Linked DNA regions of Caenorhabditis elegans. The gene in region 2 interacts genetically with the main gene of each other region. Each region holds a gene or a part of one and is shown on either strand. Other genes may lie near its edges.

What was found. Genes that interact genetically often act in the same process or in processes that back each other up.
Region 1: changes in egl-15 (region 2) and emb-8 together harm fitness more than expected from each alone (negative genetic interaction), as found in Caenorhabditis elegans (one large-scale study listed by BioGRID).
Region 3: changes in egl-15 (region 2) and akap-17A together harm fitness more than expected from each alone (negative genetic interaction), as found in Caenorhabditis elegans (one large-scale study listed by BioGRID).

What each region holds. Positions count from the first base shown.
Region 1 is NC_003281.10:5,196,132-5,201,380, forward strand, and holds emb-8 (NADPH--cytochrome P450 reductase), read right to left. Parts: upstream 3,547-5,249; 5' UTR 3,530-3,546; coding exon 3,408-3,529; intron 3,350-3,407; coding exon 3,256-3,349; intron 3,203-3,255; coding exon 2,204-3,202; intron 2,157-2,203; coding exon 1,908-2,156; intron 1,406-1,907; coding exon 1,109-1,405; intron 1,065-1,108; coding exon 837-1,064; 3' UTR 549-836; downstream 1-548. Other genes in the region: moc-6 (Molybdopterin synthase sulfur carrier subunit), read left to right, coding at 48-101, 145-200, 454-532.
Region 2 is NC_003284.9:11,014,394-11,022,406, reverse strand, and holds the start of egl-15 (receptor protein-tyrosine kinase), read right to left. Parts: upstream 6,008-8,013; 5' UTR 5,967-6,007; coding exon 5,879-5,966; intron 5,826-5,878; coding exon 5,764-5,825; intron 5,717-5,763; coding exon 5,555-5,716; intron 4,972-5,554; coding exon 4,902-4,971; intron 4,828-4,901; coding exon 4,477-4,827; intron 4,463-4,476; coding exon of another isoform or gene 4,268-4,462; intron 4,193-4,267; coding exon 3,957-4,192; intron 3,883-3,956; coding exon 3,643-3,882; intron 3,595-3,642; coding exon 3,433-3,594; intron 3,387-3,432; coding exon 3,279-3,386; intron 3,230-3,278; coding exon 2,793-3,229; intron 2,725-2,792; coding exon 2,646-2,724; intron 2,591-2,645; coding exon 2,297-2,590; intron 2,121-2,296; coding exon 1,924-2,120; intron 1,874-1,923; coding exon 1,790-1,873; intron 1,258-1,789; coding exon 1,153-1,257; intron 1,099-1,152; coding exon 936-1,098; intron 891-935; coding exon 777-890; intron 685-776; coding exon 558-684; coding exon of another isoform or gene 514-557; and 7 more. Other genes in the region: F58A3.3 (RHDF1), read right to left, coding at 7,995-8,013. UniProt on the Caenorhabditis elegans protein: Receptor tyrosine kinase required for larval development. May phosphorylate adapter protein soc-1 which in turn may result in the recruitment and/or activation of phosphatase ptp-2.
Region 3 is NC_003281.10:7,518,080-7,522,342, reverse strand, and holds akap-17A (RRM domain-containing protein), read left to right. Parts: upstream 1-1,556; 5' UTR 1,557-1,645; coding exon 1,646-1,768; intron 1,769-1,818; coding exon 1,819-2,181; intron 2,182-2,235; coding exon 2,236-2,394; intron 2,395-2,440; coding exon 2,441-2,566; intron 2,567-2,744; coding exon 2,745-2,860; intron 2,861-2,902; coding exon 2,903-2,987; intron 2,988-3,037; coding exon 3,038-3,416; intron 3,417-3,468; coding exon 3,469-3,605; 3' UTR 3,606-3,715; downstream 3,716-4,263. Other genes in the region: lig-4 (DNA ligase IV), read right to left, coding at 40-353, 401-700, 753-873; C07H6.2 (E3 ubiquitin-protein ligase PPP1R11), read right to left, coding at 1,011-1,334; Telomere length regulation protein clk-2, read left to right, coding at 3,819-3,974, 4,026-4,233.

The DNA of each region.
Region 1 (5,249 bases), on a different chromosome or scaffold from region 2:
GCTTTTATTATTAGACGGAAACAATTTGGATAATTTTGAACTTTTAGATTGATTTTCCCGAAGAGACCGATTATGAAGAGATTCGGAAAACAATTTTAGAAGTAATAATTTACAGATTTCAAATTAAAAAATTGAATATTTCAGAATTACCCAGCTCTTCAAAAAATTGAAAAGGTTATGATGCTCGCAGTGGATCAGGAGTGAGTTTTCAGAAAATTGAGGTGCAACCGCGCTCTACGGCCAAATGGAAAAGCTCCGCCCCCAAAAGTTAGGTCTCGTTAGGTATTGGCAGCAAAACTGTTAATTGAAATGTTTTCAATAGCTTTTCATCATTTTTGTTATGTTTCGCGTTGTTTTTAAAGAAAGCTTTCGGAAGTGTCGTTGCCAATACCTAACGAGACCCAACTTTTGGCCGTCGCACATCTCTGCGTCTTTATAATATGTCGTTTACAGATATGCCAACCCCGGAGATCGTTTCGAATTGGTTCGCTTCACAGAAATCGCTGTAATTCCTCCATTGTCTGGTGGATAATCTTATTGTGATAATTCTTGTAGACTCTGTTTATTTCAATGAAAATTTGTGATATATTTGACAAAAAAAAACTAGAAAAGTGGGTTAGTGGGCGACAAAGGGTGCAAAATAGGGAAGAGAGGCGAAGTTTATACCCGAATTTCGAATGATTTTTTTTCTCTGTTTTGGGTTGAAAAGAGCTGGGCGATTGGGTGGGAGGTTATCACAGAAAAATGGGAAAAGGGGGAAATGCAATATTTTGTCTAAATCACAGAAAAATTACTGAAAAATTTTAAAAAAACTGAACAAAAATGAAATTTGAAAATTATGACCACACATCAGCTTGGTATCTTTTTGTCTTCTCCATATCTTTGAAGTAGGCGACAGCTTCCGTTTCAGATTTTCCTCCGATTTCTCTGAAAATCTTCTGAAGTGTTGCCTGAACGTCACGAGCCATGTTGCGGGCGTCTCCACAAATGTAGACGTGAGCTCCAACGTTAATAGCATCCCAGATACGATCACGAGTCTCCCACAAGCGATCTTGCACGTAGATCTAAAAATATCTTATTTAAAAGTCAATGAAACACGGTATCCTACCTTATGTTCCTGAGCTCTGGAGAAAGCGCAAACCAAGTGTGTGAGCACTTCGTCTTCTTGGAACTTTGCCAACTCATCTTTGTAGATGTAATCATGATCTGGATGACGGCATCCATAATACAAATGCATTGCTCCGATTTCCTTTCCGGCATTTTTGTGGAATTGACGATCTTGGAGGAATCCACGGAATGGAGCGAATCCTGTTCCGGGACCAATCATAATGACTTGAGTTGTGGTACGGTGGGGAAGACGCATTGTTGATTTACGAACGAAAACTGGAGATTTCGATCCGGCGTCCTGAAATTATTTGGATTTTTTTTTGGAAAAAGAAAGTGTGATAGTGAGAGTTTTTTGAGTGAGAGTACAGTGAGAGTTTTTTGAAATTTTGTTTTAAAAAATACAAAAATGAACCGTGATGGCCAAATATAACTGTTTAAAAATGTAATAAATTTTTCTAAATTTTTTTGAAATGGTTTTTCAATTTTGCAAATTGAAAAAAGAGATAATTATTTTTGAATTCCCGCGCAAATGCATCGTCCGGTTATGACATTTTTCTTAAAGTAAACTTGTATACATTTAAGATTTTTTTGCGAAAAAATGTCTGAAAATTTTACAAACTGTGCTTTAAATTGAAATTAGCCAGAAAATGCAAAAATGCCAAAACAGGGTGATTCATTTGCTAGGGAATTCGAAAATAGCTATTTTTCTTATTTGCAAAATTGATAAAATTATGAAAAAATTTGAAAAAGTTATATTCGATCATTACGGTTCATTTTCTATCATGTGCAAAAAAATTTACCTTGGTGGTCAAATATCTTGTACAAACTCCATTGATATCACGATCACCAATAGAATATTTAGTGACAACTGCACAAATTGCAATCTTTTCCTCATTTAATCTCGGAGATGAAGCAATACTGTAGTAACGGGCTTGAAGACGTGGAAGAAGTTCAAGAAGATACTCAATTGGTGGTTTACATGTCTTTTGATCAGTCAATACATCGACAATTGAACGACGCTCTTTGACAATGTATCTGGCGTACTCTTTCTGAAAAAAATTCAATTACTTCAAAATTAAAATTTAAAAAAACTCACCAAGCCCTCCTCATTGGCAGTTGATAACTTATTAAGGAATTCCTTTTCAGTATCATCCGTACAATATTCACTGATTGCTTTGAGCACATGAGATTTGACTGGAGCACAAATATCAACATAATGAGAAAGAGCAGTTCGGAATGTGGTTGGGCATGGGAATGGATGACGTTTTGATGCATCTTCATCAACGTTCACAAGACGGAATGCGTGATCAGGATCGAATTGAAGCATATTAATGAGACGATCAACAAGAACTGGATCATTTGTTGGGAAGACAGCCAGATGATCTCCTGCTTCATAACGAATACGGGATCCTTCAACAGAGAACTCAATATGTCTACAACTACGATCAGAATGTTCGGTATGAAGTTCATCATTGATCGCAACAGTAGCCAAATATGGATTTTTGACATCAAATGGTGGACGTGGACGTTCATAAGCTCCAAGTCGTCCAAATTCTCCCTTGAAAAGAGCTTTTCCTTCTTCAACTGGTTCCAATTGATATTGTCTCATTGTCTCGGCCTCTGTGTTCAACTCCCATCCAAATTCTTCAGCAACTTTTGGCAAGAAAGCTTCTCTCCAAATCATAAAATCTTCTTCAAGATTAGCATCATCATCTCCTAATCCCAAATGAAAGATTCTCTTGGCTCCAAGTTTTTCAAGTTGTTTGTCCATTTGAATTCCAATCTCATTAAAATGTTCATAAGTCTTATTTCCAAGTCCAAAAACTGCAAATCGAACACCCGACAGATCACAGTCTCCAGCATTCAAATATTCAACAAGTGTCACTGCATTATCAGTTGGATCTCCTTCTCCATATGTGGCAATGCATAGTACCAAAAGAGCATCCTCAACTTCACTCAAACGATTCAAATCTTCACATTCAATATCTTCTGGATCAACGACAACAGCCTTCTTGGTGTAACGAGTAAGATCTTTAGCAAGACGTCCAGACATTTCTTCAGCTGTTCCAGTTTGAGATCCGTACATGATAAGCACCTGAAATTAGAGAATTTTGATTCTATTTTCTTTAAAATTCCATATCAATTTACCTGTCGGTTCTCATTTTTCATTCGATCAATGAATGATTGATTCGATTTCGAAGCCGCAGCTGACGTGGTGACCGATGCTACGGTTGGCGAGTATCTGAAATTTTAATTTCAAATGTAAAAAAAATAATTTTCTGCATTTATTTTTAAAGTACCTGCTAGACGATGGTTGCTGATTGAAAACCTTCATGAAAAGGAATATAATTGCTCCACCAGCGAGCAGAGTGAGCACCACAAGGTCTGATGTGTCGAGACCCGACACAATCCACGCCAGCATGTTTAGAATGAGAGTTTCTGAAATTAAAGAATTATTTGAAAAGGAAGAGGGAGATATTGAAAAAGTAAATAAATAAGAAGTTATAGTTTAAACATGTTTTAAAATATTGCCGCTGAATTTTGCGATGTTTGCGCCGAGAAAATGACAAGTTTTTGTTAAATGCGCGTGCGCCTTTAAAAAGTACTGTAATTTCAAACTTTCGTTAATGTTGAATTTTAATTGATTTTCCATAGTTTTTTAAGTTTAATTTTATGTGATTTTTATTGTTTTCATGCATTTCTTTATTTTTTCAATAAATAAATAGTTTTTAAACAAAAATGTGTTTTTTTTCTGTTTTCAGGTGATTTCAGGTACTTAGAAAAATCCCGAATCAAACGAAAACAGAGGAAAACTCTGAAAAATTGATTGAAATGGCGCAGAAACGTTAGTTCGAAACTACAGTACACTTTGAAGGTGCACACCTTTTTGTATTTATCAAAAATTTGGCGTGTTGAGACTGGGTCCAGTGTTTTTGGCGCAAAAACCACAAGTTTGTCGCACTAAAATATATGTATTTTGAGAAATATCTGAATTTCTATCATATAACTGTAATAAATAATTTTTTACAAAAACAATTTCAACTAAAAACTTAATTTGAGATACGATTATCGTATAGCAAATTCAGTGAGTCTTTTTTCAAAAAAAAATGTACAGTCAATTTGTGTGAATGAATGGGAACATTAGACATATTGTTCTGTCTGTCCCCTTAATTTGGTCTTACAGTTAAAGAAAAAGAAGAAAAAACAAAAGCTACAGAAGAAAAATCGAATTAAGGGAGGGAGGTATATTGAAATAAACAAAGATACGCCGTGAGGAAAAGTTATTAGTGAAAAGAAAGTTGTATTTGCCAAGAAGGTGAGTATTTTATAGAAGCAGATAGTCAGAGAGTTTGCATCATTTTTTGAGGTTTGTGATCGACACACATAAAATATGATTTGGTGGTCGAAGAAAGATACTTCGAGAACACAAAATTTGTCAGACTTTGTATTGACACGTAGACTAGAGTACTGTTTAGCCAAAATTATCTTCTGAAAACAAAACTTCTAAAAACTATGTAATCTTAAAAAATTTCAGACATTTTGCAAGTACAGTAGGAAAATGCTTAAACAAAACTAAAACAAGGAGTCAGGAAAAATTGAAACAAAAAAAAACTGCGGCACAATATCTGATATAACCCAAGTAATTTTACGGCACAAATACAGTACCCAAGGTCTCGACACGACGAATGTTTGTTAAATATGAAAACACGTGCGCCGTTAAGGAGTACTGTAATTTCAAATTTTAGTTGTTGTTGAATTTTCATAATTTTCATCTCGCTATGTTGAAATTTGAGTTTTTAAAATAAATATATCTATTTTTTATCGAAAAACTTCGAAAAATTGTGGGAAATTCCGCAACAATGAAAATTTGAAGATACAGTACTCTTTCAAGGAGCACGACTTTCTACATTTTACAAAATTTGTTGTGTCGAGACCGGGAGCAATATTTCTGAAAATTAAATATTACTTGGTCACAAAAGAGAGTCAACTTTTGTAATAGAAATAAAATAAAATTGGTTATTTCCACTATTACAAGACTTTCAGAAATAATTAGTCGCCAAACGATTGTTTCAGTCAAAAATAATTTCCTAATTTGAATTAAACGTCAATTCAAGTCATGCGATGAAATAAATGACTGGTGA
Region 2 (8,013 bases):
TTGTATTATAATACTGGTGAGTTTGATCTGCAAATGAAACTTTAAAGGTTACATAGCACAACATTTATAAGTGTCATGTTAGTCTGGACACTTGACGGAGGCAAATCTGTAAGCTAACTTATGTGATTTGATGTTCTGCAACCCATTACACCAAACAAAAATGTTACAGGACAAAAACACACAACACGGAAACATGATTACCACAATGGACTTTTAAATGACATCTGATAACGGCGGAGAGACTACTATGAGTAATAGTAGTGATGCTTCTCATCATCTATAAATTCATTGAAATCGTTGCCCTGAACTTAAATGTCAGTAGCGAACTGAAAACGAACCTAAACAAGAAGCTTTGTTAGAGGGACGGTCGTACGAAGGCCAAGCTGGTGAACCGAGGGCAGAGTCGAGAGATTGGTTGGCAACACCGCTGACGGCACGAGCTAATTTATCTTGTCGAACATACCCGTTTCCGATTGGTTCGTTGAGCACTTTGTGGATGTACACTAAAAACGGTCAAAATTCGGGTTTGCTCATGCTATTGTTGTTTGATGGAATACGTTGAGAGGTTTCCGGTGTAATAATGTGATTTTTCAGCATATTGTCATTGCAGTAGAGATGATTCGGATCATTGGGTGGTTCTACAGAAAAATTGGACTCATAGTCGTCGCAAATTGTGTGTTGTGGCTGCAAAAACAGTGCTTTATGGATTCCGAATTCATAGGTTAAATTCTTTTAAAATTTAAATACGTTATGTACGAAATTACGTTTTGATCTACCTCTGATGGAAGATTCACTGGAGCTGAAAGAGGGCGATGTTTTCTCTTTTTCTGGAATGACTCCATAGGAGAAACTGGACCTGATGCCGTGGATCTTTCGGAGAAAAATTGATCCTGGAAAATATCCTCAAAAATGTTGTCACAGATGTATGACCTTACATTAAATTCTTGTGATCCCTCAATAGTCTCATTTGTCATTGTTAACATCCAATCCAAATAATCTACGATTGTTTTAAAAGATGGTCGTTCTTCCAATTTTTCTCTCCAGCAGCTGCACATCAAATGGTAGACTTCTTGGGGACATAAATGTGGTGGCTCCATTCTGCAAAAACATGTCAGACAGGTGAGATTTGCATGTTTTTCTCAATATTTTCACCTGTATCCTTCTTTGAGGTTAGCATAGAGTTCAGGCATGGCAATCGTTGGATAGGGAGTTCCACCAAGTGTCATGATTTCCCAAAGGAGAACTCCATATGACCATCTACAAAAGTATCAATGAGTCATTATAGTATTAATTTTGGTACACAACCACTGTCGTGCCCTAAAATTGCCCCAAAAAATGTAAATGGAAAACTGAAATAAAAGCGTGCCAAGAAAAATGGTGAATGCATTGTTCACAGAGTGATAGTTTTGGAAGCAATAGTATTTTTTTTTTTTGATATTCAAATTTGAATAATATATTTTTTGTTAAATTAAATTGTCGTTCAATAGTTTTTTATAACTATTTTTCCACAGGCGGGAAACAACTTCAATTCAGACATATCACAAATATATTTATGTTTAATGTTTTTCCCTAAATTAAAATCCTAAAACGTTGTATCCTAAAAACCCAAAATAAGTAAAATAAATATACAGCTATCCCGATTCAGATGCTCAGGTTGACTCAGGATGATTAACTTGTGTGAAAAGACAAATAAGACATATGTGATTATATTGAAAAATCAATTTTTTTCAAACGTGAACCTGGAAAGGACCTCCACGAAACTTTTCTACCACAGAAAACCATTACTCACACATCACTTTCCACGGTGTATACATTTGAGTCCAACGCTTCTAAAGCCATCCATTTAATGGGAAGTCTGCCGTTTCCACGTTTTCTGGAAGTAATATATCATCAGTAATATATCATTAGGAATAATGTTACAACCTATAATAATCGTTACAGTGCACATCTCTCGATAGTCCAAAATCCGATATTTTCAGAACGTGTCCATCACCGACGAGAACATTTCTTGCTGCCAAATCACGATGTATGATCTTCTTTGATGCCAAGAAGTTCATTCCTTGAGCCACTTGCCAAGCAAATTGTACAAGATGGCGTTGTGTCAAATTTGGTATGAGCTCCTAAAAATGAAAATTTCAGCAAAATTACTCTGGTAAATTTAAAACTGACTAAGACAGGTTTACTGATAATGAGCAATCAGGAAAACGCTTTTCTACAAGATTTTCAAAGTTTGATGAGTATTTCAAATTTTGTCAGTGGAAAAAATCATATTTTATTCAAAACATAAGCCACTCACAATGTCATCCTTATCAGATGCTTTTCGTGGTTCCAAATAATCCGTCAATTCTTGGCTGGACTTTTTTGCCTTCTCTTCCTTAGGTCTATGTGCTCTCAAGAAATCGCGCAAATTCCCATGCTTGCACAGCTCAACAACGACATAAAGCGGACCAGCGCCTGTACAGCATCCAATCAATCGCAACACGTTCTCATGTTCTCCTATAACTTTGAATGTTTCCATTTCACTGACCAAGTCAATGAGCTCTTTTTCGTGAGCTGACATTTTCAATTTTTTGACAGCAACTGCGATTTCCTGAAACGCAATTAAAATTTCAGATTTTCTTGTTTTTTTGTTTTCCCAAAATTACATTGTTTTCTGTTTCTTTGTATGTTGCTTTCCAAACTTCTCCAAATGCTCCCTCGCCAAGCATGTGAACCAAACTCAATCTAAACGTTGAAATTTAATGTTTAAATTGAATTCTTGTCTGGCTGAATGTATTAAAGATTTGACCCACTTTGATCTTTCAACTTCCCAAACTGGATCCGAATCAACCTCGTATTCCGAAAGAACAGTGTTTTCTGAATTCATACGTTTTCTTTGTTTTCTCGCTGCTTCTTTCTTTGTAATTGGAGTCTCTATTATTTGAATTTGATAAGGTGATGGCTCATCATCCGAATTCTCATTATCTTCATTCATTGGCCTTTTGCTAACTACGACTCTTTTTTTTCTTGCCACTAATCCAACAGTATCATCCATGAATCCTTTTTTGTGTAGTGTTTGTTTGCACACCATAAACAAAATTCCAAATAATGTTGCAGCAAGCAGTAAGAAAAGCAGAATTGTTGTAAATATATAATCGGATGTTGTCCATCTATCTATCTTCGGTTCGTCACCAGTGAGCAAATGTATGGCCATAAACTCATTCACCGTTAAAGTGGCATTCGCCATCGACTGTAAAACTCTTAATTTGTTCAACTAGAAGGTTCAATCAATTTCTTACCATCCCCAGTGAGTTTCCACTGAGACAAGCATATATTCCCTGATCATCCAGCGACACATTGAAAATAGTAAGCGTCGATTCATCACCAACGTGATGGACGTGCGCTTTCTGAAACGACACTTTTTGATAGATGAGAACATGTTTCATAACATACATCAAAAGTGTCCATCTCTGTGTAATTGAACATATACTCTTCAGCTGAATTGTTGTAGTAGCTATACGACCCATTGATTTTGTTGATGCGTACCCAAATAATATGAGGCAATAAGTCAGAGACAACTTTGCAGTGGAATGTGGCAGTGTCATTAATATTTACCTAAATATAAAACATTGAAACTATAGATGCCGTGAGGCAAAATCTTACTGATTGATTAGCCAAAATATTCGGAACGATAATGGGCGGTCTTCTCATTCTGTTGACTATGATCACATGGAAATACTTTTTTGCACTTCCAACTTTGTTCAATGCTTCACAATGAAACTCCCCAGAATCTGCTACGACAGCATCTTCCACTTCTAAAGACCATCTATTGAACTTGAATTCGTATCCGCCGGACCGAGCACTACTTTTCTTCAACATTTTGCCGTTTTTGTACCAGATAATCTGTGATCAAATGCATTGATTGAAAATCCAATGTTTCTTTACGTGAAAAATTTCAAGTTTTTCATGAATCGTACCTGTGGCTCAGGGTATCCTTTTGCGCGACAATTAAGTTTCAATGTTCGTCCTGCTGGTAGAGCATGCGTTTCATTAAACAATACAATGTTGTCGTTTGACTTGAAATATGGTGGCTCTTCCGCAGTAATATTCAGCTCAGTGAGCCCCGCATCTGGAGCAACCGGTTGTGAAACACTATAGTCTTCTTCTTCGTCTTCTTTGTTTTCTTTTTCATCAGCATTGATAAATTCGGTTCCTAAAAACAAGTTTACTGAGATATATAAGAAGAAAATGAAGCATTTAAAATAATTCAACCACTGATGTAGCCTACCCAAAGCATGATTGATCTGTCTTAATCTCAGAATGTGCCTGGCTCGAACAATTTTCTGTTCATTATTCATCTTCTCCCATCCGCCCAATTGGCTTTTCACTCTCCTCATTTCCGCAGGAGGTAGCAATTTTGGCAATAAATGACTAATATCGAATACTCGATGCTCAGTGAGCCAATCGAACAGTTTAAGTGGATCTGAAATAACTTACTGGATTCGGATGGACTTTCTTCAGAGTCATGCACGGGCACAATCACATCATCTTTTTTCAAAACAACACGCTTTACTAAAGGATCGTCCTCGGGTTTCCCAGGTAAACCAAAATCCGAAACAGGAGTAGTGTCAAATTCTTTGCAGTGATCACCAAAGCAAGGAATCATTGGCAACGGTTTTCGTGCTCTATTTATCATGCGAGATGCGTACTTTGAGCAGACTTCTCCTGTTACCGCTGCATAGTTCACATCAGATCGTTTTGCTTCTTTGTTGTATTTCCATAAACAAACACATTCCATCGGAATGTTCAAATGATGAATATCGGGAAACAGGAAGTAATCACAAAAGTCTGAAAACAAAGCACACCATGCATGGAAGAAATTATGCTTGCACTGCAAAGAATCGAGCAATAGAGATACTTACCAATAACTTCAACTGTAAAATTTCGTGATATTTGTCCATATGCGTTGTGTACGCGGCAAGACCAAAGACCCTGCAAAAATATTAGTTTTTAAACGTTTTTAAACGTTTTTAAATAAACGTTTTTTTTTAAGTTGACAGAGTCAAAAACTGCTGAAAAAAGTTCTCAGTTTGTTGGTATTTTTGAATTAATATATATTTTTGATGATGCTTAAAACTCATGGTAGTCGGTTATAGTTTTTTTTCCTATTTTCTTTCATATTATTCTTGCAGAACTAAACACGCGCAAGAGATATCACACAAACTTTAGCATCTACAAGATATTTTTTATTGGTTAAATGTTTTTTTTTAATAATTCCAAACATTTTTCAAACATTAAATCATTTTAATTATCATGTTGTATTGTTTCTTTACGGTATTTTAGGTAACTCCAGTATTTTAGGTTAAAAACAAGAAAAACCAAATTTGAAACGAGACATCGAAATACAGTTTCATAGTGTATGTTAGTCTTGAATTCCTATCAGTCTTTGCACTCTAAATTGTCAATTAAAAAAATAGAAATGCATGCAATTCTAATAGGAGAAATGCGATACTTGGTGTTCTAACCACATTGTTCAACAAAAAAAAAACCACAAAAATAATAAAAAATCATATACCTGATCTGAAACATCAATATTCTTCAAGTGAAGCATCATCCTGTTATTATCTTTCCGAATTTTGTCTTTATCTATTTGATCATTTTTGAGTAACTTGTCATTACGATACCATTCGACAAAGGCAGAAATCTTTGACGCCGCGGTTTGACAGTCAAATTTTATCTAAAACTGTGTACATCTATTGCTGTTAAATATTTGTTCCACCAAACCTCATCTCCAAGAAATACTTCGTATCTTTCGTTTGCTACATGCTTGAAACGGGGAATATTTTCTGTAAAATCGAATAATATGAAAATAAATTAGATTTTGTGACAACTCTCTTACCTCTGTAATGACTGGTCAATCCTTGAAGAGAACAAGAAACTGTAGAAAGTAAGCCCACACCGAGGCAGGATGCAAGGAAATAACTCATGATGATATGTATCAGGCAAACATTCGAATTTCTGCAATCTTTTGTATCTACTATTTATCTACTAATAATCAAAATATTAAAACACTCAGAAGGAGAAGCTGTGAAACTTTTGAAATTGAATACATGTGAGAGAGGTGAATCAGACCGGTACAAAGATTTATTTGTTGGGTTCTTACTGGTACCTCTGCGCGAGCCATGGGTTATATATTACTGGCTCCATACCCCACCACCATATGTAACAAATTGGCGACACCCGCGCAACGTTTTCAAAAGTTCCGACCCTCTGGGTCATAAGGTCTAATGATCTCTGGGAACAATCAAGAAACTAAAGCAAATCATAATTAGAACCGTCTAAATTTACGCATATGTTGCTCATAGAAAAAAAAAACGAGCAGCGAGCGGAGGGCGATAATAAAAAGAGTAAAAAGTGAACGAGCGTCAAATTGAGACGACGAAAGACGTCCAGATGTTAAGATGTTGTGGATTCGTTGTCTTCGCCGACAAGGTGGAATGACACAATGCCGTTTCGATTGATATCGAAGCAAAACCTTGAATAAGAAGTCACATCTGGAGGTGTTTCTTCCGGATGCAGTGCATATGTTACGGAAACAAAAACCTTTCAACATTTCCGGACACAATGTAACTTTTTATTGCTAGTCTTGCAGTATGATATAGCGAATAAAGTGGGTCTATCTTTTCAATGATCACGGCTATGTTATAGAGTTATGTAATTTTTTTAGAGCAATTTGAGGTTTTATAAAAACTCGTTATGTATAATAAAAACAAATTTTAGCAGCTGATGTAAGCGTAATAACGCTATGGTAACTTTTCAAAACCAACGTCATACATTGCATATAAAATAGTTTAAATTAGATCAAATTTGAGATTATAAGGCTAGTTTTCAAAATAATGAGATACTTCTTTAGTGAAACATTCTATCTAAATATTCCTAAAAAAATAAAAAGAAAATGTTCATAAAAAACTTAGGTTGTGATTAATGATTAGAACATTTAGTTATAAACCAGCTTTTTGATTATTGAAGTGTAATTTAATCTGTGCGATTTCTAGGCACTTTTTTGTAGAAGTTATGTATTATAAAATTGTAATTTCAAAACTTAATAGTTGCACAACAGGGTGTGACCAACATTCCAAGAGATGCTTATCGCGGATACGAGATGGTTAGTTGCGAGTCTAATTAATTCAAATGTCACATCATTTACTCAATTTTAACAGGTAGGTGAATGGATTTCTTGTTTCAATTTTGTCATTAAACCAGTTTGTTGCCCCCAAGAATTCCATTAGAAAAGAGTGATAAGAAAAAGAGAAGGGGGCATTACAATCATGAGACGGTAACCGACAACATAGGCGTCGGTTTTTTGTTGCTGTGGGTCTTATTTTTTGGAGTATTTGGTATGTGTCTACAGGCTAATCAATATAGAAAAATGCAATCAGAAAGTGAGAGAAAATCAAGGGAATTAGAAAAAGAAGGAGAGATAAACGAGAATGGACAATGATGAGAAAAGAGATGCGTTAAAAAGAAAAGGGGTTAGTGATTGGGCATTGCGCATAAGGCAGTCAGTCGCCAAAAATGATAGAACACGGGATAATTGTAGGCGACATATTTAGATGCAAAAGCTAATTCAATTTCGGTTTTTCTTTATTTACGCGCACCTGTTTGTGTTGCATTCCTTTATAAATCTCGAACGCGAAAAGTTATTGTAAATGAGTCATTTTGACAGTGTGCAGGTGAACAACATGTGGTCAATATGAAAATAGATATCAGAATGCAATTAAATGCGAAAGGTCGAAGAAGTAAGCGGGTCTACCGAGAATTGGCTGCGTATCATATATCACGCGCAGTGGAACGGCACCACCTCATTCAATGTCACGAGGAGGACAAAACAAGTAACAAATGATTTAACGCCGTAAATCTCTTCTATTTATTAAAGCAATCTAAAATTGAATGAAAACAATGAAATGGATACAATAAAGCTTACAATTATCATTAAACGATATGTGTGGCAACTGTTAATTCAGGCAGTCAAGC
Region 3 (4,263 bases), on a different chromosome or scaffold from region 2:
AAATTGTACTTGAATTATGAACTGAATTCCAAAACTCACATTTGCATACCAGTCACCTCTTTTCTGCTTCTGAAGTAACATGGGTGTCCATATTTTAAAAAGATGCTCATCGTCATCATCATTTGTTTCTCCTAATTCGTTGGTTCCTTTGTTTTCTACCAATTTTCCTTTTAGAACTGCTTTCAAATCATGTGTCTGATCCCAAATAGCACAAGCAGAAGGCGATATCCAGTCGAGAATCCTGTTACTTGGGGCTCCAAGAGCTGATTCAACGTTCTTAAGAATTACGTTGAAAATCCATTCCAACTCGTCTTCAGAGCATCTCTTAACGAGTTTCGACATCTTATCTCGTTCTGAAAACTTTTTTTTGAATAGGAAAAGGTGTAAGCCAATAACTGACTGTTCCCATCATCCATTGGTCCCGCCGCTAAGAAATCAAGAATTTCGTTCAACTCGGAAACCGTGACTACTGTAGATTCATCATTTTCAGTTCTATATTCTTCAGAAATCTTTTCAGCCAACTGACGAGCTGCTGTTGATGCATCTTTCGAGATAGTTGATACGTAATCAGCCCTGACGTCGTGAAAAGTTTTTGCCATAAAGCTTGCCAACTTAGTCGGTCCCATGTCGAACTTTCTGAACCTCTCGTAATCCGAAACGAAGAACCGTATTATGACAAACATATCAGATGGATCAGAACCTGAATTTAAAAGAATAACGTCACATTGTAATAGTTCGCCCAATTGTCTTACACTTTTCTTTCCATGATTCAAAGTTTTTCTGAAAGGTTGCTTGCTTTGATTTCACATTTGAAGTCCGCCGAATCTTGTTGAAGACGTCAACTACTTCGTCGAAGATCACATCTGACGCCATGAAGATTCTTCAAAAATAATTTTATTGAACATCTATTCGGAATAACGAACGAAAATAAATAAACAAAAGTATGCACAAATTTGGGAAAGAGACGGACAATGAGGGGTAAAATGGGAAAAATCGATTATGAAATATGCTCAATTAGAGCTCTTCGGCTCTTCGTTCTTTTTGTGCTCGACGTGGCCACGACAATGACCGGTTTCACAATCCGAATCAGAATCCGAGCTTGAGTCTTGCCAATTTTTGGGCTTCTTGTAGATACAACAGCATTTGCTCTTCTTCTTGCCCATTCCTTCGTTATCCACTGTTTCGGTGGCCCAAACTACGTGTCGCCGTTCTGAAGTTGATGGCTGAGCTGGATTTGGACTAAGATGAAGCACCAAGTTCTGTTCTCGAGATGGAGGAACGGTGACAGTAGAGGTTTCAGTGCTTGAAGCAGTTTGTTGTTGAGTGTGGCTCATGTTCTGTAATTTAACAATATTTTTTTTTAATTGAACGAAAAATAGTGGAACAAAAAATAAGCCTGACAAATTCTCGTGAAATCAAGTAAACAGCAACAAAAATGTTTCATAATATTTTGTCCGAGTGGACTTCAAAAGACTGCATGGCCTAGAATCCAAATTCATTCCTCGTCCCCATGTGGTGAACTCCTCTCGGACAACTTATTCGAAGAACAATTTTTCATCGAATATTCGATCGAACTTCAATTTATATCGATGTTTCTTCTATTTTAGTGCAAATTTTAATCAAAAAAATTAAACCTTTTGTCAACATGGCGCGAAATTTTCCCACTGCTCTCGATTACCTGGGATCAGAAGCTGAAGATTTTAACAAGGCGCAACACTTGTATCTGAAACCGATGGCTGTTATAAAAATTACCGTAGTGCTGCCTCGGGTACGTTTTTTTAACTATCATAATTACATCGATTTATTATTTAATTGTAGATGACGATCCCGGGACAATCAATATCTAATTGGGATCTCATGGAAAGACTAAAACGTGCAATTGATCCAATTCAAATGGATTCTTGCAAAGTTCGTGAGAGCAATATCGACAGTGTTATTTTTGAAGCGGAACTTCTTTCGCTAGGAATCATGCAGAAAACGATGAAGATTCTCGATGGATTCTCTATGAAAGTGTCTGGATTTGCTGAGCCCTTGAAAGTTAAAACAAAAGAGGCAAAGCTTGATTTTCCAAGTCGTCATGATTGGGATGATTGGTTTATGAAACATAAGATGGACGAGATGAAACCCGGAGAACGTCCTGATACAGTTTATTTGGCAAGAATTCCAGTGAAATGGTTCTGCGTACGTTGCTCCATAACATTGCATTCGAATTTATTTCACCAAACACATTTTTAGGATGGTTACAATGATCTTCCTTCTGAACGACGTCTTCGCGTTGCAATGGAAGCGTTCGGATCTGTTAGAGTTGTCGACATTCCAATTTGTGACCCACTCCGATCTCGAATGAATTCAAAAATCTCTGGTATTCAGCAAAAAGGTTTCGGATTAGGGCAGGTATCGCAGTGTTTTATTTGTAAAATCAAACGAATTGAATTTTTAGGATGTATTTTTTGAAGCATATGTGCAATTTATGGAGTATAAAGGTTTCGCCACTGCCATGGATTCCCTGAGAAATCGTAAATGGGCAAAACGAATTGATGGACGGTTCTTTCAGGCTAATGTCAAGGTATAGTAGGGTAGTAGAGTTAGTTTGCAATTTTGAAAAATCTATCACATTATTTCTAAACGTTCAATATCAATTTTAAAAATTGCATATTCTTCGCTGAAACGAATCACCTCGTGCCACTCTACAGGTTAGTTAATTTCCCAGAATTAAGGTTGAGAAATAGCTTAAAATTTCATAGGTGGATTTCGATCGATCACGTCATCTCAGCGAAGTTCAAATTGCAAAGCGAGCGGAAGAACGACGTCAAATTGAAACGGAACGACTGCGGCAAGAAGAAGAGGAGTTGAATATCAAGTTTGTTGATGCTACAATTTTAAAAATAACTCACCTCTTCAGACGTCAAGAAGAACTGAAAGTTAAACAAGAACTCGATGATAAAGATAGAAGACGAGAAGATAGAGAACGGAAACGCCGCGAAAAGGTTCACTTGAAACGTTTCAAAAAATCATAATAAAACATACGAAATTTCAGAGGGAACTCGAACGAATGGCTGAAGAAGAGAAAAAACGCCTTGAAAAGGAACGACTTGAAGCAGAGCAACGATCACGAGCCACTCGCCGTTTGCAAGGTGTTCGTCTTTTGAAGTTTCTGTTTGAAAAAATTGAAGCACGAGAAGAGAGACGAAAGAGAAAAGAAGAAGAAAAGTTGAAAGATGAGCTGAGCAAAATCAAAGAACTTGAAGAACAACCTGTAGAACAAGAAGACGCATTGAGGCAAGCTCTACTTCAGCAGAGGGAAATTCGAATGCGAGAACGCTTGAAAGAGAAGATGAAAGCTTCAGGAGCAGAGAAGGATAAGAAGAGAGATAAAAATAAGACTTCTAGAAGAAGACGAACTAATAGACATGACAGTGAGTTACCTTAAAATTATTGTCTATTTTTTAATTAAACTTTTTTTTTCAGCTTCATCCTCTTCATCCGAAGATTCTGATTCTCCATCTGATTCTCCCCACTCTCGTCGACAAAGAAAACGTCAAAGTGAAGGAGATGATTTCCGGAGACATCATCATCGGGAGAAAAGTAGAAAACGTGGATCCTAAGAAAACGCGGATCCTATTTTTGTTTCCTATTATTTTACCGGTAATTTCACTTTTTTTAAAACATATTTTTTGATTTTTTTTTCAGAATCTCAATAAACGTATTTACCTCTATTTTTTCTCGTGCATTATTAAACCCTAACCTGGTTTAATTTACTACTCCACGTTCAATTACCTTTCCTGAACGCGAGCTTCGCATTAAAAACAAATTTTCAGATGAATTTACGAAGTCGCCTGGTAAATGCCACGGAACGTGCTGTGCTTTTTCAAATTTTCAAAGATGTGCAGAATGATCCGGAAAAGTACGACAATGCAGTTGAGGCGATCTGTGAATCAATCGACTATTTTGGCAAATTTTTGACCGATAGCGAGGTATTGTCCTGAATTCAATATTTGTGTAATGTTTTATATTTCTAATTGTAGTATCTTACACAAATCAAGCCGATTCTTGATACACAGTGCCCAACAAAGTCGATAATTTGCTTCTCGAAATGTTTGACAAAAGTGAGCACAGATATAAATACTACCACATTTCGAGATGTGATCACCATGCTCGACTGGTTGAAGTATGTCGTTGAAAAATCGCTGACAAGTGCTATTTGTAGCAGTCTGAAAGTTAAAGAAACTGATGGTATGTGATCAAAAATAATTATTCTTCAAC